Styela clava: one gene and its partners. The protein of the gene in region 3 interacts with the protein of the main gene of each other region in a pairwise test. Links are inferred from orthologs where the notes say so. Each region holds a gene or a part of one and is shown on either strand. Other genes may lie near its edges.

Region 1 (11,501 bases), on a different chromosome or scaffold from region 3:
TGAAAAAAAAATGACTCTTCAGACAATCACCACACTCACTTTCACACGCTGCTCGATAACCCCAAGTTTTCTCGTCAGTTACAAACTAGATGGCATACGATAATGTATTATACGTAACTCGTTATATATAAATTATAAATGCTACTGCAAAATGTGTTTGATGGTGGAATAAGTTCATTTCATTTCGGAAATTCATCAGGAAGGCAGTTATATAATTATGCTAGATTAAACTTAATAAACATGGTTTGAATTTTAGTCGACGTTAAAAGTTTGCGAATTTTTACACAAATCGAGTATAAATACAAAAGACACGTTAGCGGATTCGACGGCAGAGTTAATTTTCATTGTTGGGCAACAGATGACATGATCTGACACGCCAGGACACTCACGTTACCATCAATATTCAATGACTGCTTCCAGACCCTCGTCTATCGAGCTATCCAGCACTTAAAATTCTTGGATCCATTTTCCATGTATCGGTCTCAAACATCTTCAGAACTTTATCATATAATGTTAGGCTTGACACTGTTGTGTTCAAAACACATACTCTGTTATACTCATTGGACGGAATAAATATCAAAAACCCCAAGAGAGCAAAGGCTTAAATATAGGTGTCCAATAATTAGTGTCCAATAACCTTGAATTTCAATATACAGTGCGTGTATCGTTCATGTAACCCGAACCCTTCACCTTAGAACCCTGCAAAGCGGTTGTTTCAGATGCCCTCATAAATAAATGAAATCAAAACACGGGTAATCTATTCTATGCGTTAGTATTTTTAACCTATTGCAGAACAGAAGAAAACGGGCTTGTACAAAAAGTAGCCCAAGTCACGAAACAATAACAATCATTGAATTTTATATAGATATATTTAATCAATATGATTAACGAAATATCAATTTATTTCTTTTGGAAATTACTTCTTATTTTCCTCCGTTCCAACTACGCCAGTCAATGGTCCCAATCCGTTCGGCATTAAAAGCATACAAAATTTTTCAATTTGTCGAAATGTACCCCTGTTTCTCAAACTTTTCGCACATAAATTACGGCAGAAAAATGAATTTTCATCGATATTTTATACCACAAAATTCAATGTGAATTCATGCGAGCAAAATCAATAAATGAAAAAGTTGCGACAGTCGGTTTCCACAATTTTCGTATAAGATAGATGATATCTTTCAAACCTCTGAAATATTGTCTCAAAAAAATAAAAACGTGTCGACCCATTCGGGAATCTGCATAAATAAGCATAATTCCCCCACAAAGAAAAGTAGTGACATAAACTGGTAGGATAATTTTCAAAGCCTTGTGTCCGTGGTCTGAAAGGTGCCGTTGTTTAGTAGGATAAAAAGGTATCGTGTCGGATTAGCTCATCGATCGGAATTATTATACATTAATTTAACTTCGTCGGTTCTTAATCTGCAGTTACTTGATCAACTTTGTTGGCTTGCAGCTGAGGAACACCGAATAGCAGAAAAGACACATTACCCCACTTGGCTTTGCTTCCACTCTATTCCGATGCATAACAACAGATAAAGTCCTTGAATGTCAGATGGATGCTTGTCCTTTGGAATGAAAGTGGAGAACGCCTCATACATAAATTAGTTTAATATGGCGAAAATGCGTAAACATTTTATGCTTTCACTTCTACGAAAATAACAAATAAAATTATTATTGATTCTAGCCTATCCATATACATATGAACACAGAACGAGAATAATTCTCCAAATGACTGATGGTGGAAAATGTGTTTTTGAAAGTAAAGGGCTGCGTTGTTTCTAAAATACTAACGTAGAAGCGTATTCCGCGAGATGGTGCTAGAAGAAAATGTCTCGTTTGCTCAAAGCTTGTCTACCAGACTATTCAAAGCGAGTACAGTATTCAAATATGCACTTATTTACCTATTCGTCTCCAATAGTTTATAAAATGTTTAATCTCAAATAGTGAAATCTACTTTCTTTAGGCCAGGTAGAGCACCAATCGCTGTAACCTACATGAAATACTGAGAACCAGAAAAATTTTCTATACTGGAATTTATATGACCAACACTTGACTAAAATATCACAGCAAGCAAGATATTCAAGTGCAATTTTTTATTTCAATAAAATTTCCTTTTTTATTTGTATTAGACCGTGGAATAGAATATATCTGAAATGATGATTATAAAGCAAAACTTTCTGCCGTTTGAAATACTTTCGCAAGTCGAATAAAAGTAAATTGAAGTCATCTTTGTCCTCGGAGGGCCTGACTGAGTGGATAGCTGTAGGTTGTTAAATATTTGATTGTATTTGCATTACTGTTGTTGAAATAAAATTATGTTATGGAAAGTTGAGTTTTGTAGAAAGTTCATCCGCGTAGCGTTAACTAATCCACAAGATGCAATCGTGACGCAGCAGTAAGCGTTTTCGCGGCCACTCGGACCCTTTACACTTGGAAGGATTTTAGACATGGCTGTAATCATTGGCTCCCTTTCGTGTATTTTTCACATTGTTTCAGTAGTTTAATAGTCCCGAAATATCTGCCGATCAACTGGCGATCATCTCAACCCGTTTCTGCACCTTGCATCCTCCACGATTACGACCCGCTTTGACATACTTATTCGAAATCAAAGCCAAATTTAATGGCTGTTAGTCAAGGGGTGGGCAAAATCGAATATTTTTCGAATTGAATATTTTGAACGAATAACGAATGGTCGAATGATAAATATTTTTATACACAACAGGGATCCAGTACGTCGGAAGTCGATACTTTCTTTGGAAATTAATAGAAACATTGAAAAGTCGGCAATAAAGTGTTATTTTAAAAGTTAATTTCATCATAATCTCTGATTGCCTCCGTCATCGCGATATCCTAAAGTTGGTAATCTATATTTCCGCCTTTTCTCGTTTTTTGCAAGTATAAGGGGTAGCCGGATATCGAAGTTTTAAATTTCTCGTATACCCGTGCGTTCACATCAGCGACAGCTGTTGAAGACTTGAGGACTGATTTCGAAACCAAATTAATTTTGTTCTGAGTTTTATCCTCTGCCTTGGCTTTGATCTTACTTATCACCGCTTGTAAATTAACAGTGCCTGTTTGAAGTGAACGATAACCGAGATGCAGATATTTATTAAAACGATACTTGAGTTTCTCGTGCTTTTCTATGGTGTTCGTGTTATTTTAGCATAAGATAGATAAACCTTGCAAATCTGCGATTGCGTGAATTCTGAATGTTAATTTGAAATAGCTATTAAGTTTTAAGGTTTTTTTTCAACGAAATAACACCCCGACGGTTATTATAGCTAAAATACGTACTGAGTAATGCTCAATTTTAGTTACGGAATTTGCAAATTCCGCCGAAAAAACGCCGAAAAGTCATTCTAACATTTGATTTTAATCAATTTTATGTTCCGGTCATGCAAGAAATGGCTTATGACACGGAGTTTAAAATCTGGGAAATTTATTTCATATACCCGGCTTGACGCTTCTAAATTTACGGAACGGTCGGTACGTTTTTTTGCAAAATATAGAATCAAAGAAAAGCATATAACACCATAACGCAAAGACAACGACTTTTCAAACTTGTCGCTTTTTATATAATACGTACGTGCGCACGTATATTTATATATAAAACGATAAAACCGGTAACAGAACATCAAGATTTTGTAATAGAAAATGGACTTCGCACAGAATAAACACTCTGGCTCGTACTTGATAGTAGTTAAATCGAGAATATTGAACTGTTAAAAACAAAAAAACGATCGTCAAAATTCTTAAATCTCGTTGCCTTGGTTAAATAAAATCCAATGATCAGGACATTTCCAATTAAATACTGTACAAAGATAGTTATACAATTAGGCTGCAATTTAGCTTCTTTTAAATTTTAATCATGCATTGTAGTGGGGAATTCCCACTATTTAAATAAATAACTATGAAAATAAAATAGGATTCTGGATTCGATTTGATTTATTTGATAGAAAAACGCACACAGTTAATTAGAATACTACAATCGTTAAATAAGACAATCGTTTTTACACATATCACAAAGTAACTGGACAAGTTTCGCGATAATTCTGATCCTTCGAAATGCGCTAACTCCTTCCGTGTTTTATCCTCTAGAGGGCGGTATTGCCCATCAATGATCCATACGAACATTAGCGTGCCATACCAATGTCAGATAGTTTACCACAATATATTTTATTTATATCATGGATATACAATACCAAGAAATGATTTACTATCGCGAGGTGGTTAGAACAGGTGCATATTTGATAGAACCGAGGTGTCAACCGATGATCACCTAGGCTGCAAAAGCGCACGTTCCATTGAACCACCGCAACTACGACCTCGCTCCAACACGAAAAAGAGGCCAATACCAGTATTCAGTGATCCTCGTCAAATTGAGGGAAGCAGTGTTTATGCCTTTATGGCACCAACAAGACTTCACAAAAAGCCTGGAATGGCGTCACGCATTTTTGATTGTGTCTTCGTTCTTTATTTATATGCATTTAATTGAGTTAAATATCTTAAATTATAGTCTTCAACGGAGTAAACATTAAAACTTTAACAACGCAGCAATCATAAAAGTTTAAGCAGTCATCATTAAGCATGTTCGCCGTTTCACTTGTACACCGCGTGGAATACATTGCCAATTTTTTTTATAATTTTTTATGAATTATTTGAATTGATAAATCAAAAATCAGTGAAATTAAACGCCAAATGTTAACCAAATCAACGCCAGTAGTAACTCATATCAAACGATGTATATTTTCATTTTCATTTCATTAAATTGTACAGAATAATTAAAGTGCACTTATTTTATTTCAAATACGCGTTTTGTGGGTTTTATCGATTCCAAAATATAAATTATTACATAACATCGACAAAAATCATTAAACTAAAAAATTAACGAGAACATTTTGAACATCATGCCATTTCTGTAAAAACCTATTACTTTGTCAGTTGGTTGTCAACAACATTAAATAACAGAGCTCTCAACACGTTTCGCTAATGTACCGTGGCTCGGTAAAGCTAATTAGACTGCTTATATATTCCTTGTTACTCTCAAATATTTTTCGGGTTGCCACAAATCGAACCACATGGCTGTCGCGAGTCGTTTGCATATTCCACATTCGTGTAGTCGCGTGCGTAACGGATGCATCGATCAGATTCCCGAGAGCCCTTTTGTCGGAGGAGTGAGCTATCAGTGACATTTCGCCAGTCGCGTGAAAGGTGTAAAATTGGTCTTCGCCCCTTTTTTTAAATGTAAAGTCAAATCGACAGCCGGTCGATGTGGAATAATAATTTCTTATGATCGATTAAGCCGTATTGCTACAATAAAGAGTAAACTCCATGTAGATAGAAGGTGGGGAAAAGGTATTTGAATGTCGGCGCTCCGGGATGTTAGAAGGCAGCATAAACTGCAAATATACATGCTCAGTTAGTAAGGATAAGATAAGGTAAAATACACATTAGCGGGATGGTACACAGCTTTGTAATTGGATTAGTATAGATAATTTGGCGTTACCATTAATTTATTAAATGCGTATTAATACAGAAAACACTTCTTGTATAATCAGTTATTTTATACACTATGGTACGTGCAATCTTATTGATGATGAATAAATATTTCAATACTAAAATTAGATATCATGAAAAGACAGGTGGGAGGAAATTAATAGGCTACTTTGGTATGCTCTATCAACTATCGTGTGATTTTAGTTAGGGTTAAGAAATGAATTCTATGAGAATGTCTGACACAAGTGCTGTCCCTTTGGTATTTGATTGATATCACGTTTAGCATACCAAAGTGGCTCCAAAAATAGTTGTTTTCCGAAAAAGATGAAGCAATCTAATCAAATTGGATAATTTTTCACAGCAATGTATATTACTTGCAAAATCGCCTGAAATTGTATGAATTGTTGTTGTGACAACAACGCGGAATGAAAGTGAATCAGAAGTGGAAAAGACATCAAAATTTCAAACAGGATTTGAGTGGAATATTTTTCCAAGTATTGATGACGATAACCACAAAACATAATTGCGATCAAAGCACGGATTATTCGGATAGTATATATACATTCCCTAACAATAGAACAAATAAATGAAACATATTTCAACGGTGATATTAAATAGATTAAATATCACAATTTCTTTTGGATCGTTTCTGAGTGTTGATCGACGCATGAAATGCCTGCCGGATCGAAGCGAGGCCTTGTTGCCCCGCAAAACACATTCTTGGAAAATGTTATAAGAAAAACTAATCAGTACGAAACAAGTGAGTGTACTTCTTCATATACTTGATTTAGATCGCTAGAACTGGAATTGTTTGAATACATAAAATCGCAGAATGTTTGTATATACATATCAAATATTCACGGACTGTCCCCTTGCAGTTGTCCCCGCAAATTTGTGTAGTTGTTGCGATTTTCATTTATTCGATGTCATGAATATTTTGGATCACTTTGATTTTGATTTACGGCTTTGTTGAAGCAGCTTGATCCTTAAAAGTACAACGGACATTTTTCAGCGCTCCAGAAGTATGTGTATCAATACGGAGGACTCTAACTTTGTTCTCCTACTTTACATCAATTTATGTAAAGAAACTGAAGCCTATGAGCAGGGGTATATTCACTTGGCCAACACTAACAGTCGCCAAACACATACTACGGGAGTGCCCATTTTTCAGACTGAACTTGACTTTTAAATTAGCATATTGATTCGGTTTGTCTTGACTTGCTTCATTTGACTTGTATGTAACTATTAAAATTCTTGGACATTTATTGCATTTGCATCACGATATTTTTCACCCTTTCCAAACTCCACCCAAATTCCCAAATGCACGTCTTCGGTTTCAACTTGCCAATATTAAATTCAAGTTACAATTTTATCATTAACTGTAACAAGTTTTTTTGTCAAGCATTTGCAGTGAATTTTTATGAATGACGTTTACATGTTTCTTTTTTTTAAATTATTCATAAATTGTGGCGTAGCTACATACCATCAGTTTGCTAGATAAAAGAAATGTAAGTAATCGAGATGTAAGTATCAATACGAAACAGGAACTAGCCAATATTGAAAGCTTTTAGTGTAACATACATTATTCAGTGATATGTATTGACAACAACCAGTACCAATGGGACGCTTAATAAAAATGTACTTTTAAATATATATATAGTCCGATTCCCCGTATATAATTGATTTTCAAAATGCATTTCTGCCTTGTGTGGTATTTAAATTGACGAAACTAATAAAATCATGTATCGTTGAAGTGCGGTATACGGAAAAATCTCATTTTGAAGACATGATTGGCGTGACGAAGTGAGCGATAGGCCACTAATTCCATGCTCTTGAATTATTAGGAAACATTATAAAGTTACTTTTCTTGTTTGCGTGTTCACATGATTTTTATTTATTCTATTTTATAGATAGCAGTTTCTTACTGGCCAATGCGCAATTATGGGGTTGGCCAATTGTTTATGCAAACGAAGGTTTTTGCAAAAGTACTGGTTACAACCGGTCCGAAATTATGACTGCTTCATGCATCTGCGAATTTATGCACAGGTAAACTAATTTTTGTACCAATAAATTGATTGTTGAATTCTAGGATTCTTCCTGTTTCAAATCGGTTTTTAGCAAGGATAAGACCTTATATATATATACAGCACTGATCACTTCGTTTTTGTGTGAACTTTATTTTGCTTGTATTTCACCAGTACACTGGCGTTGACAACTTGCTTTTATACGAAACGACTTTTGTCTCAAACTGAATCATCGTGTCGCTACAATTTACCATATTTGTAGTCTCATGTTTTGAAAGGCTTGGTATTTAGAGTAAATTCAAAAACACCAAAAATGAATTATGGTTATAATTTTTTATTTTTTATGTAACAGAGATCTAACGGACAAGGATGTTTTGCAAAAAATGAAAGATACTCTGGATAACAATGAAACTGGAAAATTTGAATTGCTACTTTACGACAAATCAGGTACGTATTGAACAGTATAATAACCATGACTTTGTGATACCTCATTAAAACATAAACTGGCATAGACAACTGAATTTCTCGAAAATCGTTATTTAACGTGATCAATCAATACCATCGCTTTACTGCTAACTTTTCCTGTGATGACTAAGTAATTCTGTGTAATCGTGGCCATGGGTACAGTTAGCAATGCCATTACTTGGTTGTTAATTAATGTAATTCATCAAATGAATACATGATTTTTTACGACACATCATCTGTCTGCTGTTTAATTTGTTTTTATCGTGGCAATATCAACTTGAGCGTCGATAAACTTGGAAAATCTTTTGTGGCGGCATTGTAATATAAATTATCAAACTTGAATGGGAATTCGTAATTTTTTTTTTTATATATGGGGTGAATTTGATTAAAAGATAAACTACTTCTACGCGGATAAGCTATTTTTATACTTACCAATTCTGATGACTAAAATACCAATCGAAACAAAACTGACAGCAACGCTCTATTTTTTGACAAACTGGTTTATGCCATGACGACAAAAAATGGCTGTAGCGAATTGGTGAAATAACGTGGTTTAGTGTGGGCAATATTACTACAATAGAATAGTTTGAAGTGTTTTTTTTATCACATTTGAGTGACATATTTCCTAAAGTTCAGCACGAAATGCTACTTTGCGAAGTGCTTTGTATTTCTTATAATTATAATAAAAATAAATTAATAAAAATTTATCCGAGAAAGAAACGCATAAAACCATCTCATAGACTCAATGTCCCCAACCACAGTAAGCTTGACGAACTAGTGGTACATATACGGCAAGTCATTTTCAAGTTTATTTTAATGCGATGAAGACCTCATTTAGAGTCAGTCGTTAACAAAAATACCTATGCTGTATGTGGAATCATTATTAGTACAGTACAGTGGTCTATATTCATGTAGAAACTATGATAACCCGTTGTAAAACGTATAACGAGTAACGCCTTCACTGACCATATGTCAAGGTAATCCGATTGTCTGGCATAAAGTATTTAACGATTTCCTCGACAAGGAGAAGTGAATGATCAAATGGTTTAACTTGGATCACAGGTTATTATCCGCATTATGCGGCGCCAATTCTCGTTCAACCACTATTGTAATAGCAAATGATCATGTACAATTCCTTCTAATCCATCCGAATGCATTGATTTCTACTTCGTGAAGTCGAAAAGTATTTTCTATTATATAAAGGCTATAAATTACGAGCCAGCTGCAACAAAAAATTTCCAAATGAGAATTGTAAAGTTAACTTAAGTCTTAACTGAAGAATAAAAATATCGTATATTTTTGATAGAGTTATTAACTGTCATCTCATACCCGATATCGTACATTATCTACGAAATTACTATTACCGAACTGTTTGAAACTATAGCGATGAAATACAATGCTGAAGATATTATAGAACTTAAATTTGCTGTAAACATTTTTCCAGGTACGCCGATGTGGTTCCTCTTACAAGTTGCACCGATCAAGAACGACGCAGACACAACAGTAATGTATCTGTTGATATTCAAAGATATAACTCTCATCAAGAGACCAATAACACAAGATAAAAAAGGTTTATAGATTTTATTCTGCCAACATAATGAACAAATCTCAATTGTATTCAATTTGAATCCAATGTTCCATATTATTTGATTTTTTTAATTTACTAATTATAAAAATTTCAAACTGTTTTATTATGTGTACAATTCCCTACGGCTGTTCGATTTACGTATACCTGATGATTTCAGAGTCGAATCGAATTTCGAATACTTGAAAAATATTTGTCAGCCCGCCGGGTTGATTCATTTCGACCTTTGGCGAACAAAAAAAAACAAGATGGCGGCAGTTTGAAATTTTCGTCTGAACTAATTCGAATAATTTACTATTCGATTCCGACTGAGCAATTACATTCATAAACAACCTAAACTCGTAGATACTGACTGAATTGTGAAATACTTCAAAGTCGGAGTTTTTGTTGGTATCAATTGATCACTGGATTTTCTCATATTTAACTTAATTTTGCAACAGAGGGTCTTTCAAAATTTAACAATTTTGTAAGTCGGATGAAAAGAAATCAAGAAATTGAAATAGAAGAAGGAAAAGAAATCTCAGCGAAAGATATTCAGGAACGAAATCAAAAAATTTCAGAGGTTCGTTAATGACCGCAAATTTGTTTTTCATTTTTATACTCGAAAGTTCGTTCGACAATGATAATGTTGCACAAAGTAAAATCTAAAAATGTAGTATCTGAATATTGACATCCTAGAATACTTTTTTAAAATAAATCCAAATCTAACTTCAACATGCCCTTCATAAATCGAATGTAGATGAAAGCAGAAAATATAGTTGGACGAAATTTGTTATTCGATATTGTATTCACAATGATTAGCAATAATTCCGAATAATATCCAAACTATCCAGAAGCACAGACATATGATATATTGCCACAAATCCTAAGGAATTGATCATAATGTATCTTACATGAAATCTGAGTATGGAACAGTTGAAACCATTGCTCGTAATCAAGGCTTAGGTGCAGAATTTTATTAAATGATAGAAATGCTTTGGAAAAACTTTCAGCTTTTGTGTTGACTCAAAATAAACGGGCGAAAAAGAGACTGTTTTTGTGTGGTCGTGTAAAAGTTAGGTTGGGTGTAAATGAATGTAGAATTAACAAAAACTTTCTAGAATTAACAAAAACCCATTTTTTTGCAGCTTTTTAACTTGAATCCTGAAATGTTACCGAAATATCATCACGAATCTCCCAAGACTCCGATGGGAATAATTCTTCATTATTCATCATTTAAAATGTGTTGGGATTGGTTTATACTCATATTAACTTTCTACACTGCGGTGATAGTGCCTTACAATGTTTCTTTCCAAATCAAAGAACGTAAAGCAGCTTGGCTTTATTCCGACAGTATGGTGGTAAGTGGTGTTTGACCGTCATAAAAAAATAACAATTTTTCACAAACATTTTCCGAACAGCTTTCCATATAAGCATATTATATTGTTAGCTGTTGATAGACTTCAATGAAGAAATTTGTGAATATTTTCTAATTTATTCGAATTAAAAATCAGCCCCATTATAATGGACCCTTTATTTTTGCATAACTCGACATGCATTGCGGGTCAACACTGCTATTTTTATGGAGAAAATTTCCGTGGCTTTAATTAAGAGTATGTGGTCTCTCCACGATTTGTCATGGTTTAATTTTACAAAATAAATCATTCGGAAATGAAGAGTTATGACCATTCTAAAAATTCAGTTATTTTGCAAAATACCATCGTTTCCAGATGAATTTGGAAAGAATATACCTGAACAATATTTGACAGTGGATGTATTTTTTCAATGCCTTATGTAACATTTTACGCTGCGACTAATGCACAATTAATTTCCAATTCATAAATAATACAGCGTTCGCAATCTATTGAAAACTAACGAATGATATTCAGTCTACCATGTAATTTATTTAATTTCCAAATCGAAGCGGCATCTTAGTTCCTATGCACGGTTCT
Region 2 (9,107 bases), on a different chromosome or scaffold from region 3:
TTCTTTATAATTGCCGGTTACAAAATTCATTGACCATGAACTGTTGCCAATATTTCACAAGTTGGTCGCCTAATTAAGCTTGGGAAACGCTCTTTGTATTGAGAAGACAGTAAATTGGTGTCAAAACATAAATAGCGTGAATCAGAAGCTTTATGGGCACTCCCGTAGCGTGAGTACCAGGTTAGTGTTTGGGCATAATTTTATCTCGATTTTTCCTCATTTTAGTTCTATTACTGTTCGGAACTGTCTGTGTTAGCCAAGTGAATATACCCCCTGCCCATAGGTCCAGTTCCTTTACACAACGTGATGTAAAGTAGGCGAACAAAATTAATTCTCCATATTGGTACGCACGCACTTCTGCATGTAGCACCGAATTTTCTACAGATATACACGCAGTTATTAATTTCTAACCTGGAATTTGACTTCTTGATAATAAATCCGTTATTAACGCCTCAGCTGCGTTCAATTTCTCCGTCATCTCTTTCAGTGATGTTTCCTGCTTTTGTTTCAAATTGGTCAACTCTTTCCGCATTTCTGTAATTGAAAATATTCACGTAATATTCTTGTACAGGAATTTCTAATATTATTGAATTTAAGATTGGATTTAATCGCATTTTGTTAAAATCGCCGATTGTTTTCTTCACGGGCTATTTGGGCCGTGAACACCTTCGCGTCGATATTCATTTTTCCAATATCACAAATTTCCATCAACATATGCATGTCTTATTTTGGTTCTTACACGGAATGGTGAATTTGTTGTGAAAAACCAGTCATTATATTATAATCATCGGCGACGAGATGCTAAAGCTAATAAAGTAGTAAATGATTGAAAAGCGGCATTGTAAACTACTAAAACAACTAAAACACAATAAGTTCTGTTTTAGGAGACCCGCTCCAAATAAAAATGCGGCATTTGAAGTAGCAATGTTTTGTATTTTTAGTCCACGCAACAGCCTGTTACATTGAACACATTAATTAAGCAAGATATTTCAAATTCCCGTATCGGTCGTGGATTGAATACTTTGCGTAATTGCGAATTGTACTTTTTGGGATTGTTTCACACACCTTGAGTTTTTCTTTTAGCGGCGACATCTTGAAAATAATCTTTAGTTGCAGTCAGAATAGCTCAAATCCCAAGGTAGTAAAATTCGAATCCAATCTATTCATAATCGGACATCTTATCGCGTGTTTTATTCTACAGATTGTCGAAGTATTTTATAGTTGGACTTTTATTTTACTGTAAATCGACGCAAAGGCGAGTTACGTTGAACACAATCAAATTAACATAGCAAGACATTTTAAATGTTCGCATCGGCCACGGATTAAATATTTTATGCAACGGCAAAATCGTTATCCGCTCGACCCGATTGATTTTTTTTTACCGAAAATGAAAATATAAACTTTACTTGACAGGTATACTTATGCACTCACCTTGTTTAAATTTGGCCATTTCTGCCTCTAAGTCTTTACTCTGTCCAAGCTTCGATTTACAAGTTATAGGAAATTCATTTCTGTTCATATATCCTTCGATGTCAACTTCATTCAACCCTTTAGGAGTCGGATCGCACTGAGTAATCAAACAGCCTGGTTTAGCAGAACAATGAATGACGGTTTCATCGTCCTGACATATCACAGAAATGAAGAGAATGGAGAAACAAATAATAAATCTCAGAAAAAATTTCTTCATTTCATCCGATATTATATGAAGCCTCTTTTATTGAATCTGTATTGTGGTTCCAAGAAATAAAACATTACAATTTTTTGATATTTTAAAACATTTTCTCGCAACACCAAGCATCATGCACGTACAAACGCATCAGTACTCCTATCAGTGAGACCTATGAATATACGCTTACAGATTGCATTAAGACGATCACTATTTAATAACCTTTGGTAACACAATCTGAAATAGTGGATCTCGTACTTTCATGATCGGTGGCTCGCATTCTAAAGACACCCAACACTCTGGTCTTCCTTTGAAATTAAACACTGTATACTGTCTTCGGCGCTCCCGTAGAATGTGCAACAAGATGGCGGATACCTGAACATAGTATGTGTACCAGGTTAGGGTTAGGCCATAATTTTATTCCAATTTTCTTTAATTTTGTTCTATTACGAGTTCGGAAACTATCCAAGTGACCACACCCTCGTAGTATTTGTAGCTGAAATTACGGCCTAATCCTAACCTGATACACATACTACGTTCCGGTGTCCGCCATCGTGGTTCACATACTACGAGAGTACCTTGTCTTCTTCTATCATATACGATCATGGTATATATTATTCTTATCACCATTCTCCGCCCTCCTTTCCCATTTGTTTGAGAGTACCAATAGGTTAGCTTTTGTGATAGGCTGCCGAATTAGACGGGTATTCGACAAAAGACCGTGTCGCATTACAATGATTACAATTAGTAATCATTCACAGGTAACCATGGTGGACTTTCGACTATTTTGGCCGCACTAATACAGAGTGGTACCTTAAAATTTGCCTTATGGGAAATGATATATGTTATTTCCTTGGTTGAATACAAACTGTAATTCCTGTACGAAGATATGGAAAATTGGTAGTTTTTATTTACTCATATCCTATAGTATAGGTACTTATTTTTAATATAAGTCTTTCATTATTTTAGAATATAGTCGATATAGCCAATTAATGCTCTATAATGCTCGTCTATTTTATACAGTCAACTTTACCTCTGGACATTGTGCACCATAGTAAATATGACAGACCTAATCCTCATGTCTTTGCCGAAATCACTGTACGTTACTCTATTTCTACAAACGAAATAAACCTGAATTTTGCTGAATTGCTGTTCTTGTTGGGGTATTGTTGTCGTGAAATGTCGCTTTTCTTCGTAAGTACTGGGCCAACCGACTTAAGATTTTAAATTTCACGACCTAGAGTTGACTTTCACTCGGCAATCAACATATCTCAATCTCAGTACGAAGCTACATCTTGCAATAGCCTGAAGGATATATTTGAAAGTTTCCTGTATCCGATTACATTAAACTTCGTGGTTAGATTAAAGTTATTTATAAAGGTTGAAGCCGGCTGTTCATAATGTAGAAAGGAATGGCCAAATCATAAAAAAAACATTTGCGTCTGAAAAATCAAATTCTTATACTGTAAAGGCAATTAATCACGTGAAAAATGTATTTGCGACATTCCTCAATCGATTTTATTCGTAATCATACTAATGTATCATCCATAATTTCCCTTATTAGCCAACTATTTACTTCCGTGTTTAGCAAATTATTTTTCGTTTGTAACTTCGTTTTGGTTATTTAGCAATCTTATGCTTTGTATTGGGTAATCCACTCTCCAGTTGTGAATGCTTTTAAATCTTCTTTATACATATTAAATGTTGTAACTGGTAAACATTTATTTTATGATGTTTTAATTCACGTAAATTGAAATTATTAGAACTCTTGTAAACATATGCCCAAAATTCAACTTGAGTAGTTCCAAAACTCCTTCAACTTTACTCGATAACCAAAATCAATAAATATATTTTTTAAAAGGTAATGTTATAATTAGAGCTGGGAATGGTTAACCGGTTAACCGATTTCAGATGGTTAACGGTTATGATTTATTTTAACCGTTAACTGACATCTCGGGTACAAATCATCTTTATACCGTACAATTTCGTTAAATATGATTACGTCATCTCAAATTTATCTCTTGCGGCGTTTAATTTAAAAAAATATTACTAACTGTGTGGGTAAGGACTCAATGAATGTAAAAAATAATGGAAGTACCAAGATTGCTGATAATGAAAATTTACAATGATAAATTCAGAATCAGTTTTTGGTCGATTTCGAAATATATTGTTCACGATTTCATTGCAAAATCGGATATTCAATGTCATACAACAAGTGCGCACTTGATCACGCTTTTCTTTATGAAATATATCTCGAAATAGAATTTGCACATCAAACACTGAAAATTTGTCACATAAATGACGTTTAACAACGGAATCGGGTTTTCTTAAATATTTCCACATGCCCGAACCACGCTGCCTATCTATTGCAGCAGAGGAATCATGAAACTATCTCAATTCGTAAATAATTTTGAGCGATACCGGGATAAAAACACGCGAAATTGCGTTATAACCAATGTGACGTAACAAGCTGAAATTATAATTATTACGTCAAACGTCACGCGGCGGTTAACCGGTTAATTTTAATCGGTTAACTTTAAAGTGTTTTCCCTGAAATTCCCAGCCCTAGTTATAATAGTAAATTCTATGATAATTCATCAAATGAGTAAGGAGCGATTGTCGCAGGAGCGATTGTGGTTGGGGTTGACTTTAATGGGCGAAGGTTCCTATCGCCGCTCCCTACAGTTTATATAGGGATATATATATATATAAAGTGTTGGTTAGGCTACTTTATTCTAGTTGAAATGATGACTGTATTTTGATTGGCTAATAAATCCCTTTTTCTCTCTCTTTTTCACACTCGTTTTCGTGAAGATTCGCCGTCGATAATTTTTTTGCTGAGGAGCATTGAGTTATCCGATTCAGTTATCATTTTCTGTCGTCGGGATTAGCTCACATTTTTGTTCGTCCGACCGGACGATTCAAATAAAACATATTCATTCAGAAAATTTAGGAATAATAGTTTTGAAATTTTACGGTATAAATAGAAATACCACCCTCTTTTTGTCTCTTCAGAAGTCTCGCTTATTTCTGTATATTGTGTAACGGTAATTTCATGAATAGATCAAAATACCAGCAACTCGTATAATGAGGATCGCGAGATGGCAGTGATGAGTTGGAGTACAACAAAACATGACTGTTGCCACAAAATTAGCGTTTATCCATGGGTATATTTTTTAAAATTAGTAAGTTTTTAGGCATTTCGATAAATTTTACTTTCAACATATCTAATAATTATGCAAATTGTGTATTTATTATGTGTCAATTAAAAATGAAATATTTAAGAAATCATTTGTATTGTGTTAGCTAACTTGTTAAATAATCCCCCTTCTTATATTACGATATCTTTGGAACTGTTATGTGTAATCCATCAAATATTTGTTGTAATTAATTAAGGTAAAAATCTATAGCGGCCTTTTTTTTCCTCATGATATCTGAATGTCTTGTCTTAATAGAAATTTTTCTTTTTTTTATGGGTCGGTCGACGTAGTTGACCTTGCAGTCTTGCGGCCCCCTCCCGAATATATTCTATGATTTATTTATTTTTACAGTTATTGAAATTTTACATTTTTTTGATACATTGGGAAAATAAATCATTTTCTCTCTCTCATTTCTGTTTTAGTGAAAATCTATCATCACTAAAAAATCGTCAGCAAGAGAACTCGATGACATCTGACTGGTGACGCAACGACTTGTTTCTCGTCTGGTACGGCAGTCGCTTCCTGACTTTCAGGAGAGGTGTTTATCGTTCGTCTAATTCCGCGACGTTGTTTGTAATTCTTTATTTATTATTATCTAGTTTTAAAATAACTCTATTAAAATGTCAGAACCTTTGACACTCGAGCAAGACATTACAAGGGCGATTGAATTGATCGATAATTTACAAAGTCGAGGGCAGGTTCCATCGGATAAAATCCTAGCGTTGAAAGCCGTTTTGCAAAGTGACTTTTTACACGCTGTTCGTGAAGTCTATGAGCATGTTTATGAAACTGTGGACATTACCGGGAATCCTGAAATAGCTGCAAATGCCACTGCTAAGGCCACAGTTGCTGCTTTTGCAGCCAGCGAAGGACATGCCCACCCGAGAGTTGTAGAATTACCTAAAACAGAGGAAGGACTTGGATTTAATGTCATGGGAGGTAAAGAACAGAACTCTCCAATTTATATTTCTCGTATTATACCCAATGGGGTAGCAGATCGCCATGGTGGCTTAAAACGTGGCGATCAACTTTTATCAGTCAATGGAGAGTCCGTTGAAGACGAATGCCATGAGAAAGCGGTTGACCTTCTCAAAGCTGCCATCGGAAATGTTAAATTAGTTGTTCGATATACTCCTCATGTTCTAGAAGAGATGGAGCAACGATTCGAGCGACTTCGTCTATCCAGAAGGCAACAGCATACCTCAAACTCTGGCTAATTCCATTCAGTTAGTTGTCCAACATATTTTAAGCTGCTAATGTTTTTATTGATGTTTTCTTGATTTTGTTGACTTGATTTTCTATTTGATTATTTGTTATGATATTGTTGATGAGGGTATGGTCTATTTAGCTGTATTTTACAACTCAAAATGCAGAAATTGAAAGATTATGGTTATTCCAAATAGTGTTGCTTCTCGCATATAGAATATTCGAAAACTTGTGTATTCAAAATAAATTTTTCTATTTATTGATATATGCTCAATTTTGCTCAGAAACTTATAAAATATATCAAAATATTGAAATCCAAAATATTACATTGAATTTGAATTTTTCTTCAAACTTTGTTAGACTGAATATGTTTGAAAATTTTTGATTTGATTTGATATAATCTACATTGGTACGATTTGGACTGCTTGGACCACATCAATATGGTATGATTGAAAGAAATTGTGATGAATTTCTAATGCTCTGAAGCTAGTTATTATTTTCTTGAATAGCGTTTAGTTAGATCGTACCAAAGAATTCATACCCACTGAAATTCAGAATTTGCTGAGTAAAACTATTGATCAACTAATAGGGGTAAAGTCAACTTTTAATAAATGCACCAATGCCTTTGTTACTTAAGTATAAGTACCTACCGGTAAGTAACAACTGCATTGGTTCATTTAGTATCAATTGTCAATGGGGGAAACAGTTTTAAATAATCCTATTCATATTGAGAAATCATACTTCATTGATTACCAAGGAAGGAAGGTATGGTTTACCCATTTAGACACTTTATTTATGCTTTTTTTATTCTCTGCACATTGCGAGAAATTTACAAAAATATAAAGGTGTGTAGTGAGAAGATCTGACCATAAATCAAATTCCTTTATGAAACGATCTATGTCACAAAGTGCTGCTTTTATATTATTTTATGCATTTATGTTGCCTGTTGGACAAATCATTCCAAATTACAAGGGATCAATAACATCAGACAAGCTACTAATCATGTTTAATTCATAGTGTTAACCTTTTTGTTTAATATTTCATTTTTTACCTGTATGGAAATCCATTAATAATGGCAGAATATTCTAACCTTGAGCATACAATATTGATGCCGCTAGTCAAAATTCTTGCTCCTCTGGTCAGAGTGACTTCAATTTGTTTGTATATCAGAGCAATCTGTAGTACTGACTTCATATTTACTAACCTCAAACACTTCTTGTGAAATTTTGACGCTCAAGAAAAATATTTCAAACAACTGTGCGACCCAATCAAGTTTATACTATTTTCATTTGTCTAATTCTTCTACCAAGTAAATTTCGAACAAACATTTTATCGTGGCATTCTTGATAATGTCCTTGGCCTTTCTTACAAGAGTTGTAGCTATTTTCTTGTGGCAATTACATCCACAGTTACAAGTGCAAACTTGGCCAATTATGTCCTTTTTAGCTCTTAGTTTTCTATAAAAAATTTACTAGGTGCTTTCTTGACTTCATTTCTATATCGTAGGTGCGATTACTCAATTATACCAATTTTACATTTTAAAATATTTAGAAATATTTTTTTTTCCTGTTTTTTTTTGTCTATCAACTAATGTTTTTGAGCCTGCTGTTTAGGTATGAAATTCAAAATTTCTAAATTTCATGATTTCGTCCCAGCGGAAAAATGCTACTCAGATTCACATAATGATGCCTAGAAGTTCGTTCTTTCATATGTTCAAATACACATACAAGTGCTGTGCCATGCCAAGGCTAGTTTTTTAATAAGGACAATATTCAACAAAATACTAACTTGAAAGTTTTTTTTGCAATTTCATAGAATAATTATTGATGAATGTCTAAAATCAAAGTTTCAATAATTTCAATTAATATTGTTTCATGTTTTTGTTTTAGATAAAAAAAAATAATCTTATCTTTGTTGGAAGATAATTTAATGCTGGGTGATTATCGTTGTGAAATGCAGATCGACCTCTCGTCAATTCAGCGTCATGAAAAAGAAAAGAAAAAGGAAAAGTTCGGGTCTAACAGCGCACCCCAGCCTCGGCAGTGCTCCTGACGTCCCTAATAAAGAGAACTATACCACAGCGTCGTTCGCTGATGAGCTATTCGGAGCCGATAAGCTTGACCCTGATAATTTTAGTTTAAAATCATTTGAGATTAAAGTAACCGAGAATATGACTGTTAAATGGGATACTGTTATCTTCAACCGTCAAATGTTTGTCTTAGTTCCGACCACTCTGTCACAAAGTGGCAGTAGAGATAGCTTCGTTGCACTGCTTGAAATCGCAGAAGAAGAATTGGATTGCGAAGCTGTTATATGTTGTGTTCAGAATATAAGCTCAGAAAAGTCAACTCAAATACGTACTTTCATGTACATGGGATTTCAGGCTATTCCGTCCACGAGCCCTCTGCTTTCTATTTTGTCTCCTGGGTCGAAGAAATACTTTTTTCTCGGTAACGAACTTTGAATCAAAACATTTAAACTTGATACATCTGATTGTATAATATATTTGTGGTGAATTAAATTAATCATTTTACTTCAAAATTTTACTCATCGGTGGTTTGACGTCTTTATTTATATTTATCAACCTTTCAAGTTATCCGCACCATTGACTCAATTAAACTTCTAATTAGGCAATTAGACTTCAATTTTGACAGAATTTTATTGCTTGAATTTACATGTATAAATTCTGACCCTTCCATATACAACAAAATAAAGAATAAATGCCTCGTTCCGCCGATGTCCAATAAGTATCTGTTGTACATATTTGTGAGTGTGCTGTATTTAAATGCAAAAAGTTGAACAATGCTACTTTACTGATTCTGAAACATGTGTTAGCTAGATGTGTATTTATGTGGTGAACTTGGAATGGTGATAATTCACCTAGTGGGAGAAATATTTTCGGATCAAATTACAAAAGTTTTACACTCTTAGATTTATGACAACGATTCGGTCGAGTTCTAAATGTGCTTTATTACAGCAAGACATGACTTTTAATAATTTACTTGACTTTTTTGTAAATCATAAAAGTAGTCATT
Region 3 (11,133 bases):
ATATTTCATGAACGACGACAAGTCTGTATCTGATCTATAAGCATAAACGGAAGGGGTGACGCGTAGAGCAGTTGGTGCAAATTTGATCAATGACTCTTGCGGTGTTGCGCAATTACTATTGCAGAAAGTAAACAGAGTATAGTTGCCAGATTCGTTCAACTTATTACTTCATAATTCGATACTAAAAAATATATAAAGAGAGAAAGAGTTTATTGGACACGTCAGTGGACATAACGACCGTTTTAATGTTGTTCTTGTTCCTTTTTTTCCTTTTTTCATCATTAAAAAATCGCTTTTCTCTTCCAATACTGACCCAATTGCTTCAAGATTTCCAGTGGTTGAAGATTGATTTTTTCGCCAGAAGGCCATTACTTTTACTTCTTTCAAAAATTTCTGTGAACTTTAGGAGATTCGTTTTTTATGTGTCGGAATAAAAAATAGCGGCACCTTGTAACGTGTCCCTATATTTGAGCATAGCTCCCTTGTTATTTTTGTCAACCAAAATACAAATAAATTTCAAATTAATAAACTACACAGCATTTATTTCGGTATGGACTGGGAGATGGTGATACGACCAAAGGTCAGGATAGGATTAGAGAGAGAGAGAGAAATTTATTTTATTTATTCCGGGAAAAAAGAAGGGGACGAGACTGCTCGATCAGAGAGAGAAAGATTTATTGATTCGTCAACCAAAACAAATATAAATATGAAAGCATAAATACAAATAAATAAACACTGTTCATGGTAAAGACTGGAGGGAGCGATACGACCATACGGTCATCCAAGTCAGCTCCCCCCATATTCACTGTTATACATAAGATTCACAGGTATTGGATTGAGTATATTGGATTAGATATAATAGAGTAATATACAATTAAATAATTGTAAAAAGCAAAATTACAAGGGGCTAATGATTGAAGTTAGTTATCACGCTCAGGCGCGCAGCCAGGATTTTCAAAGGGGGGGGGGGGTACATAATCATAAATTCCCATTGCAGCCTGTAACAGTCTTTGCATTACGCTCTCGTTAAAGGGACGTCTTTTCAGCGTATAATGATTATTCTTGTCGCGTGAAATATTCAATCTCTGACAACTACAAAATTCTAAAATGTCTTTATATATTAGTTTAATTGTGTCCAACGTAACTCGCGGTTGCTTCTTCTCACGTCAAAGTTAAAACATTAGTTCTCTGAAATGCCACGGCGATCGGTGGACATAAAAATATGAGATAAACGGTGTATTTAATTTTAATACGTATTTTTGGAATCTTGCCAACTCGTTATCGCCGTTAGAAAAATCTCAATAACTGATATAAAATCCCGAAAAGTACAATTTTATTTCGTACAATGAAAATGCATATGAAGTATATCGTTAAATCAAAAATACATATTCATCGCCGCGATTACGCCACTTGTTAAAAGAGCCGACGTTTACAACGAGAAATGATTTTTCTGTTGTGCAAAGTAATCAATTCGTGACCGATAAGGGCATATTTAAAATGTCTTGCTTTATTAATTTAATTTTCTTCAATTTAACCAGCGTTTGCGTCGACAAAACATATCAATTTTTTACATGTCACAATTTTAAAAAAACCTCGGCCATATGCCGACATAAAAATAAAAATTTGTGGTAACTGCCCGTGTCATATATTGTTTTGATCCGTATTTTTTCTATTTTGCAAATTCGACAAATTTGAGATGTGCTTGTAACATTGACTCCGTTCAATCGCAATGCTGACACTCCGATTATTTTTAAAGATAAAACCTCCTGAAAAATCCGTAAATCTGCTGTAAATTCTCATGGAGTAAAATTTATTTCAGTACAATAAAAATTGATGGATATACTTCGGATTAATTATCTTGTATATCATCACAAACCGGGAAAAAATCGCGTTTTCAACCTTGTTTAATGATAACACGAAAATTTTCTACGACAATTTTGGAGTGCTGGATAAAGGGCAAATCCCACCCACAATTAACCGTGTTTCGAATTTAGTGACGGTATGTTCCTAAACGGCGACCAAACATAATGTGCGCCGTAGGCACACGAAATTTTGCGATTTTGCGACTAGAAAATCGTTTTTAGACTGTCGCGGGACTCAACAAAACTTAAACTATTTACGGTTTTATTTTCAGTATTTCATAATGCCGCTTTTCAATCAAATTTAGATCGCGGTTTTACTCCTTCTTTTGTCTTTAGAACCTCGCCACCGATGAATGTGTAATAACTCACGAATTCACAATTCCGTGAAAAGTACAAAAATAAAATAATTATCATGTCTATCGTGGCACAAATTTATGATTTAGAAAGAATAAAAACCGATGTAAGGGCGTTTACGGCCTAAATAACACGCTGATGAAAACATAAGCGATTTTAGCAGAAGGCAATTGCACGCTTTTTCAGTTTTCACATTTCCGTGCGGGTACAAAAATAAAACAAGAGAGCTACGCCCAAATATATGGACACGTCTGTCCGCAGTACAGTACGGTTTACCGTACCGTCAGATCACAGTCTACAAATATATTCACACCAAGCGAAGCAGTACAGTAAGACACGAAATGGCGTCCGATGCCCGCAGAACGTTTAATGACGTCATAGCAAACAAAAACAAATCTCACAGAGCTAACAGAAATATTTAAAATGAATAAAAGTAATAGCCTTCTGGGGAAAAATTTTATCTTCAACCACTGAACATTTCAAAGCAATTGGTCCAGTATTCGAAGAGAAAGCGTTTATTTAATATTTCCACTAGGTGTGTTATTCTGTGTCAAATAACAAGAACAAAAACAAGAACAACATAATATTGAAACGATCGTTATGTCCACTACGTGTCCAATAATTATCATTGTTCCCGCGGCACAAATTTGTGATTTAAAGAGAATAAACACCAATGTAAAGGGCGTTCACGGCATAAATAACATGCCGCGTTGATGAAAACGAACGTCGATTTTAGCAGAAGGCAATTGCACGTGTTATCGGCAACTTTTTCACGTTTCAGAAAATTCAAAAGGGGGGGATCAAATGGCAAACACGATGGGTCCTCCAGTCCATGCCGGGTAAAGGATTATTCAGTCAGGTATTTGATTTTAAAAGTGTGGATAGTGATTCGAATTACGGTATTTCTATTTTCTTCGATCATTAATTGTTTGATTCATTTTTTTTTGTTTTTTTTGTATCAGTATATGAAACAATCAGAAGTTGTAGATTAAAAAATATAACGTAGTGCTCCCACTGAGCTTTGTTTAGAGCTAAATGTGTGAAATTAAAAAGTGTTTATGCGAAAAGATCGTCTCATTTGGAAGACCTGGCAATCAATATTCCCACTATGTGCTATGATCATTGATAAAGTTATTGAACCCGGGAGATGGCACCCAAGAGTCACACTTCAAAATCACAGACAGCTCGTACCAAATAACTTTCGAGTTGGATGATTCGTACCGCTCAAAGACAGACGAATTGTCCATAGATTTTATTGCTCCACAATGACCGTCAGGTCGGTTCTCTTGCGAAATGAATGAGAAATTTTGCTGATTGTGGTTTTAGTTTATTTGCTTGTAGGCTAGTTGTTGCTGAATTAACAGATTTTCATATTTGCAAATTAATGATTCTTTTGCGTGTCACGCGGACAAAATAATAACGGGGCCATACACTAAAATTGTTTCGATATTACCGTACCGGTACCGGTACGTTAGGATAGGATTAGGATAGGATTCACAAATCTCGTTCTGACGTTATTGTCAGTTTGTCGAACATGGGAATGGTTTTCTTGTTTTAGAAAACTCGATGTACCGGAATAGGTTTAGTAGCACTAATAAAGTAGACTAGTAGTATTTATTTTTTTCGTCATATAAATTGTGAGATACGGTAGGCTATAAAATTTGGATCATGAAAAATTCGGGTTCTTTTTACTTTGTAACTTCTGTATGGTTGTGTGAGAGTGTGTGAAATATTTCCATTATTTTGGGTGAGTGAACACGTACCACTTCTTCTTGGCACGACCTTCCATCTTGTATTGTGTACGTTTTAAACCTTGTCCAAGGTTTTGTTTGCTCTCCTGTTTTCATAATCAGTTTTTATTTTATCAGTTTCTACTTCAATTCTGCAATTGGTTGTTTTTGTCAAATTGCTTCCAAAGTGATGCCCGATCGCGTTTTTAAATCTGTGTTTGTTTCATTTATCTTCTGGTGGGCCGGCAAGTACATTGTACGCTTTTTAACCTTTTTTAAGTTATGCCTGTCTCCCAGGTATCACTGCATTTTGTTTTGTCCGTTTACTTTTTGTATTGTTTATGTCAGAGAACCAAAATGAATGATTGATTGATTTATTTTTTATACAAATCATTTAAGTGTTATGCTGATTACTGGATTATGGAGTCGAAATAAACTTATACTTATAGTATAGTTTAGTGGACTACCACAAGTACTTCTAGTGGAGCAGGCATAAAGAATTTTGCATATGTTATTCCTAACCCCTGACTACCTGACTATGCCATTTAAAAAGTACTTCGCTACAACATCACCATGTCATAGAGCCTGTCAAAATATATTTACGATCGCCCAGTTCACGATCGCCCATCACTGATACAGTGATAACTGGATAAGGAACTCGCTAACGTTGGGAATCTCTTTCATATCGTGATCGTTGCGACAAAAAAATGAGAGAAATAGCTTGCTCGATTTCGAGTGATCGCCTGTGCGTTTTGGACGACCTCAGCATACTTTGGGGGGGGGGGCTTTTTACGCCACTGTGATGTCAAAATGACGTAATTTTTCGGTAACGTAGTCAGGTGGGGGTTGGGATTGAAATATGCAAAAATTGTTTAGCCAGGCCAACTAGAAGTGCATGTGGTACTAAACTATACCAGACCCAAAAATTCTATCGTTAGATCATATTTCAATATTTGAAAATAAAACACCTTACAGACTTATATCTGTATATTGCTCTACATTTAGAGCAGATGTAAATAATCCCAATACTGTAATGGGTCAATAAGTGGAAAAAATATAGAAAATTCCAGAGTGAACAAACGATTCATGATAGCCTAGTTTTGCAAAATTCACGAGAAGCCTTATTTTAAATAGGAAGTTTGTGATAGATCTAAGTGTTATTGCATTTGCTAATTTGTTTGTTCATTGTTTTATGTCGATGTAATTATTGAAATAACCTAATTGTTGTAGATAATTATTACTTCTGGACCAAGCTTGAAAAATACTGAAATATGAAACTCACTCAACTGGATTATGAATTTAAAATGGAAAAAAAAAATGAATAAATATATATATTTATATATTAATAAATTATATATTTGCTATATTCCAGTGGGTTGAGGTAGTGAAAGATGACTTTAAAACTTATCTAGCTGTGACTCACTAGTTGTGTGTAACCAATAACCATACTGTTTATATTCATAGTTTTTCATATCGAGTCGTGGGTCGGATGTAAAAGGATCACTCAGAAGAGTATTTGCTCACCACTGTCTGACTGTTCTATTGTAACATGTAAACATGGGTTTGTGAAATCTGGCAATATCTTTCCTCACAAGTTAACTTTATTCCGTTCATATATTCTGCAACAGAAATATATTTATCACATTTTAAGTACTTAGATCTGACTATGAATAACAAGTAATAAATCAATTGCTGAGTGATCTTTCATAATGAACAATATGGTAGAGGAGAGATTCGAGACCCACTATGAACAGCACGAGACCATCGGAAAGTGAGTAATTTTTTATTTTTATGACTCGTAGGAGGCGCAGTTCTTACCACTTCATGGCAACCGAATGAACCGATGGCAGCTCCTGCCCTGTTGATGGCGCTATTACCGGTATATTCACAAAGCCAGATTTTATTTTATCATGCAGAATTATATCTACTTAACCTAAAACCTAACCCCAAATCCATTAAAACTGTATCTATAAGGAACTGTTCCAGCTTACCCAATATTTATCACCATCCGGGACAGCCCTGCCATTACAGCTGACATGCTGTGGTTATGGCAGCAAAATTTCACCCGCCTTTAGTTTTCAATTTGCTGCTGTTGTATCGGCAGCCAACCATTGGTTCGTGGCAGTCAAAAAGACAGTCGCCATGGGTTTGGCCATAGTGTCCATGGTCCGGAAATCTCACCTGAGCTTCAGACGCCACAAAATACTTGAAATTGCACTTGACTCATAGCGGTGCTTTTAGCTTCGAACATGGCCTTCTACAAACGGCCACTGAAATCTGATGTTATGTGAGAAGCTTTTATTGTATTTGAAAATGCCTGAATCTTGTTGGAGTGGAGCAATATCATGATATATATTAAGCATGATCTACCCAAAATTTCAGTGGCTTCGGATGCTGATCAGTGACCATATAATTATTTTTTTACAGTTATAAATTGTTCAAATATTGTTCATTTCATTTTTACTTAACTTTCAATTCATTTGTTCTCATTTATAATAACATCTATAATTTGTTTATCCCCTGAAATATTTTCGAATTTGGGATTCATACACGAGCCTCAGTCTCCAGAAAACCAATGATATCATGCTGAGCATTCCAGGAAAATACCAGTTACCAGATTGACAATAAAAACATTTTCAACAAAATACATTTTCCTGTTACAGAGGTCCATTCAGTTTTGTCAGACGTTGCACTCATCGAAGATCAAAACTCCAGTACGCTGTTAAAATCGTTGACGTGGCAAAGTTCACTGGAAGTCCTGGACTTACTGCCCACGGTGAGTTATTTTTTTTACAATCCAAACGGCCCTCAAACTTTCATGATCATGGCCCAACACTCATAACACCTTTTGGTACTCCAGAAGTATGTGAACCAAGATGGCGGACACCGGAATCTAGTATGTGTACCAGGTTAGGGTTAGTCCATAATTTCAGGTGCAAATACTACGGGAGTCACGGTGACCGCCATCTTGGTGCACATACTTCTGAAGCGTCCGTTTTTTGTATTCTATATTTCTGACTCTAAGATAGTTGATGCAATGCAAGGAAAGAAGTGGATTTTCTGGGTAGTTTTTTTTTTTCCAGGGTTCTGCTTATTATTAACTTTTGGTCATGATAGGGTTACTTCGATTCAAACCCCGTTGGGGGTGAGACGTAGCTGATTAGAATACTTGATCGCTCATCTATCTCTCACCAACACTCAGATGCTAATTTCCACACATTCGATTGAACCTGGTTGACTGATTCGAAAGCAATAAATGATTTTATTGAGAGATGATATACAAGGTGGTCGCTAGAAAAGTAGAAATAGGTCAGATGAGATAACGAATAAATAGGCAGCGTTTCCCAAAAGGAGCGAACCCCTGACATCTCTATCACAATCATGCTTTAGATTGAGATTAGTCAAATGGCAAAAATTGTGAGCACAAAAAAAATCTTGCATTTTAGAATACATACCTATACTACCTTTCATTGGAAGGGAATTATGGCCAATCCGGGACAGCTGTCCCATGACAATTACAGTGGTGATATTATATTTCACATAATGCATTCCCTGTGGGCATTGCAATTTCTGAAAGTTTTCTTCAGGGGTATTCAACCTCTTTTGATGGAGCGAATGAAACATTTCAGAGTTTTTTTTTATGTCAAATTGCAACAGTGTTCAGTAAAATTCTTTGACCATCTGTCAATAATGCATTTTACAAATCATTGTTCGGAATCACAAAGAGTTTTTCATGCAAACTTGGGTCCACTTTCAATACCAATGCACTGTGTCAAAATGACCATTTTCGAAAATTGACTATCCCAAATTATTTTTAAAAAATTTAAAATTTGAAATTCTGTTATAATCAACTCGATTTCTAATTATTCCTGCCGATAGCAAATTGAACACGCATAACTTCTGATCAATATATTGCTTTATCTTGGAGTCTAGATTTTAGGAGTCTAATATATAACTAAAGTAGTAACTAGTCGACAACAACTAACGGATTAGTTCACAGATGAAATTCAATACATATAGCAGATAATTTTACGTTACAATTCCAAAATTTTGAGTTTCTCTCTTATTCACGTCACGCGTCGAGAATGCGATACGCTTTACGTGAGTAACGACATCTCTCAAATAGCTGTAAAAACAACCTTTTCAGCGACATCTTTGCGTCGTTCTTGGCATTTTCTGGATAATGAGATAAGTGACCTAGAGATCCTAGGTTACAATTACAATTTAATTCTTATTCCTGCATGTTCCACAGATTTGAAGAGAGAAGCGACAATATGTCACATGCTGAAACATCCTAACGTTGTTGAACTCTATGAAGTTTACAGCGAGGAAGGATTGCTGTACATGGTCTTCGAATAGTGAGTATTACTTTACTTGAAACAAAATAAAAGTTTTATTAAAGCAGGGATGGGCAAACTACAACTCGCAGGCCCCATGCGTTCGTCAGAGAATTTTGGGACTTCCCGAAGTATGTGCACCAAGATGTCGCACCACCTGAACATAGTATGCGTACCAGGTTAGGGTTCAGGTTGTGCACCATCTTGGTGCACATACTTCGTGAGCGCCAAATTTTGTACCCTGTTTGTTTAGAAAGTTACTTGCCACCACATACAAAATTTGATTTATTTCAAATTTTATTATAAATAACCAAACCAATGGTTCTCAAACTTTTTAAGTCGCGCCCCCTTTTCTAAAATTAGTCAAGTCTCACCCCCACCTTAAAAATAACCAGCTCACACTAGGCTACAAATAACAGATGTTAATGCGGAAGTATGTTTATTAAAAAAAACTTTTGAAAATACATGGATGGAAGTATTATTTTATTTGCAATTAACTTCACCCCCCCCCTCAATAATTATTTACCTCCATACAGGGACACATACTTCTGGGTCGCCCATTTTATTCGATCATTTTAAAAAAATTCTGCTGCTAATCATTGGATCTCAACATTTGACTCGTAGCTTTTAGGAGGATATGCTAGAGTTCTGTTCTGTGAAATGACGCTAAAGAGCCCTTTTCCAATGACATTTGACCTATGCAACTGCTGAAAAATTAAAAAAAAAAATTGCATATTCAATGACTTTCGTGTATGGTACAGCGTTAACTAAATTTTTATTCAAAAATTTCATGAAATTATTTTTTTAGCATGGACGGCGCTGATCTTTGCTTCGAAATCGTGAAACGAGCGAACATGGGATTCGTCTACAGCGAAGCCGTTACAAGGTTAGAGATTTATTTGTTGTGGCACTTTCATTAAAACAAGGCTTATATGCAAAGAGCCACATTTATTGTGGGGATTAGTCACTACCCAATTCAGTATTCCCTGCCAAAATTATCTGGAGGGGGTGCATTGGATTCAAACTCAAGATATTACGATAACTGGAGTCAGAACCGCTTTGTGATAATGGGCTAATTCAGCACCATGTCTAAATTTGGTGTATGACATTGTCATTGCCAAGGAGCCACTTATATGCAATCAATGAGCTATTTTTATTGTACACGACAGCAATATTGACCGAATCAGGATTTAGGATTGTTGTGAGGACCCAGCCGTAATATGCTCGTTTTACCGCCCGATCTTCATTAAGGGCCCGTTTGAATAGCCGCCCGTGTGAACAGAACATAAAAATAAATAAGGGCCGGTGCTTGAATACCCGCCCGATGTAAAAGCTGATTTTTCAGTGGTAGAAAACAATAGGAAATAAGAAGCGCTTTTGTCACAACGCTGTTGAATTTTACTCGCAGGTAGATAACACTCACGCCTTAGGCGTCCAAGTACATAGCAGATAGCATTGATTACTTAACATCATGGTTCTCAAACTGGGCGTTGCATCGCCCAAGTGCGTCGTTTCAATATTGATAGGGCGTCGCAAAACTTTTCTTCTTTTGCGGATTTGTACCTGCGGTGGGTAGAAAAAGTCAAAATTTTCGTTATTCTTGTTTAAATCATACTTGAGAACTGGAAATAACAATATATTAATTATTGTACGATCGAAAATAACAAGCGCCCGTGCTTGAATAAGGGCCGGTTTGAATAAGGGCCTGGTTAGTAAGTTGGTTGAAAAAAATAGGGGCCCAGGCTACAAAACGAGCATATACGGTATATCACACCATGGGTCGGGCGGGGGCATGGGATTTGAACCAGGATATTTAATATTAATTGTCGGAACACATTTTTTTTTGTGGGTCAATCCTGCATTTCGACTGTTTCCACTCAGAATCAGGATCAGTTACTGACCTGCGATTTACAGTTATTATCCAACCCAGTATTGTCCACTCATTTTTTTTTTACTGCAAAGTGAGGAGCGTGATGTTTAAATCCGAGATCTTGTCAACATAAAAACTTTATCTCCTCTTTAAAGCAGAGCTGGGGAGCTGGTTCAAAATCATGATGGCTCCGGCTCCAGCTCCGGAGTCGCAGTGTATTCAATCTTTAGCTCCAACTCTGGGTCCGGAGCTTCATTTTTTTATGCCGGAGCTGGCTCCAGCTCCGGCTCCATAGCCATTATCAGTAGTGCAGCCCAATAACGCATTTTGCTAATTGTTTTCTAAGTGTGGCATGTTATTTAGGCTGTAACACCCTTCAAGTCGGTGTAATAATAATTCCTTTTTGTTCCTGCATTTAACTTGTGAATCCACTGAGAGTTATTATATGCTGTATTTCCGAGTGAATCGGTATACCCAGCATATAAGGGTTTTACATATAACCCCACGATAAGACGGGAAGGAAAATCGGCTTCTGGTATGGTCGCAGTGTTTGCGCATTCGGTAAAATAGCTCATAATGACTTTTTCTACCACATAATATTTAACCCATAATAACTGTCTTTTTATTTTAATTTAATTGTGTTCAACATAACTGGCAATCAGGCCGGCCAAATAAAATCTGTCGTGGGCCATTCTAAAGCAAAACTTATGGTGTTTTCTGTTTTATTTTTAGTATTTTATAATGTCGCGTTTTAATCAGGAAAATTTGGTTTGCGTATTGACTTCTTTATTTATCTTAGAATTTCATCACCGATGATTATGTAATAACTCGTTTTCTCACAAATATGGTGCGTGACACAAAACATATGTCTTGAGAAATTGTGATTAAGGGAAAAATAAACACTGAAATAAAAGATGTTATGGCCTAATGTTTATGGCGACGAAAACAATTGACGCTTTTCACGAAATGCAACGCACATG

The links.
Region 1: the proteins of peripheral plasma membrane protein CASK-like (region 3) and voltage-gated delayed rectifier potassium channel KCNH1-like interact in binary tests that used the Drosophila melanogaster proteins (3 or more experiments, as listed by UniProt). The link is inferred for Styela clava from reciprocal best matches to the Drosophila melanogaster genes CASK and eag.
Region 2: the proteins of peripheral plasma membrane protein CASK-like (region 3) and protein lin-7 homolog C-like interact in a two-hybrid assay, tested with the Drosophila melanogaster proteins (2 studies listed by BioGRID). The link is inferred for Styela clava from reciprocal best matches to the Drosophila melanogaster genes CASK and veli.

Annotation. Positions count from the first base shown.
Region 1 is NC_135250.1:11,630,869-11,642,369, forward strand, and holds the start of voltage-gated delayed rectifier potassium channel KCNH1-like, read left to right. Parts: upstream 1-5,867; 5' UTR 5,868-6,168; coding exon 6,169-6,256; intron 6,257-7,406; coding exon 7,407-7,542; intron 7,543-7,872; coding exon 7,873-7,967; intron 7,968-9,429; coding exon 9,430-9,555; intron 9,556-10,010; coding exon 10,011-10,132; intron 10,133-10,697; coding exon 10,698-10,910; intron 10,911-11,501. UniProt on the Drosophila melanogaster protein: Structural component of a potassium channel. Mediates the potassium permeability of membranes; potassium current is regulated by CaMKII and CASK. Has a role in growth of the perineurial glial layer of the larval peripheral nerve.
Region 2 is NC_135263.1:5,071,714-5,080,820, forward strand, and holds protein lin-7 homolog C-like, read left to right. Parts: upstream 1-5,362; 5' UTR 5,363-5,486; coding exon 5,487-6,083; 3' UTR 6,084-6,278; downstream 6,279-9,107. Other genes in the region: uncharacterized protein LOC120340926, read right to left, coding at 412-534, 1,432-1,687; ornithine decarboxylase antizyme-like, read left to right, coding at 8,057-8,536.
Region 3 is NC_135256.1:839,574-850,706, forward strand, and holds the start of peripheral plasma membrane protein CASK-like, read left to right. Parts: upstream 1-5,578; 5' UTR 5,579-5,655; coding exon 5,656-5,717; intron 5,718-6,609; coding exon 6,610-6,722; intron 6,723-8,198; coding exon 8,199-8,304; intron 8,305-9,091; coding exon 9,092-9,169; intron 9,170-11,133.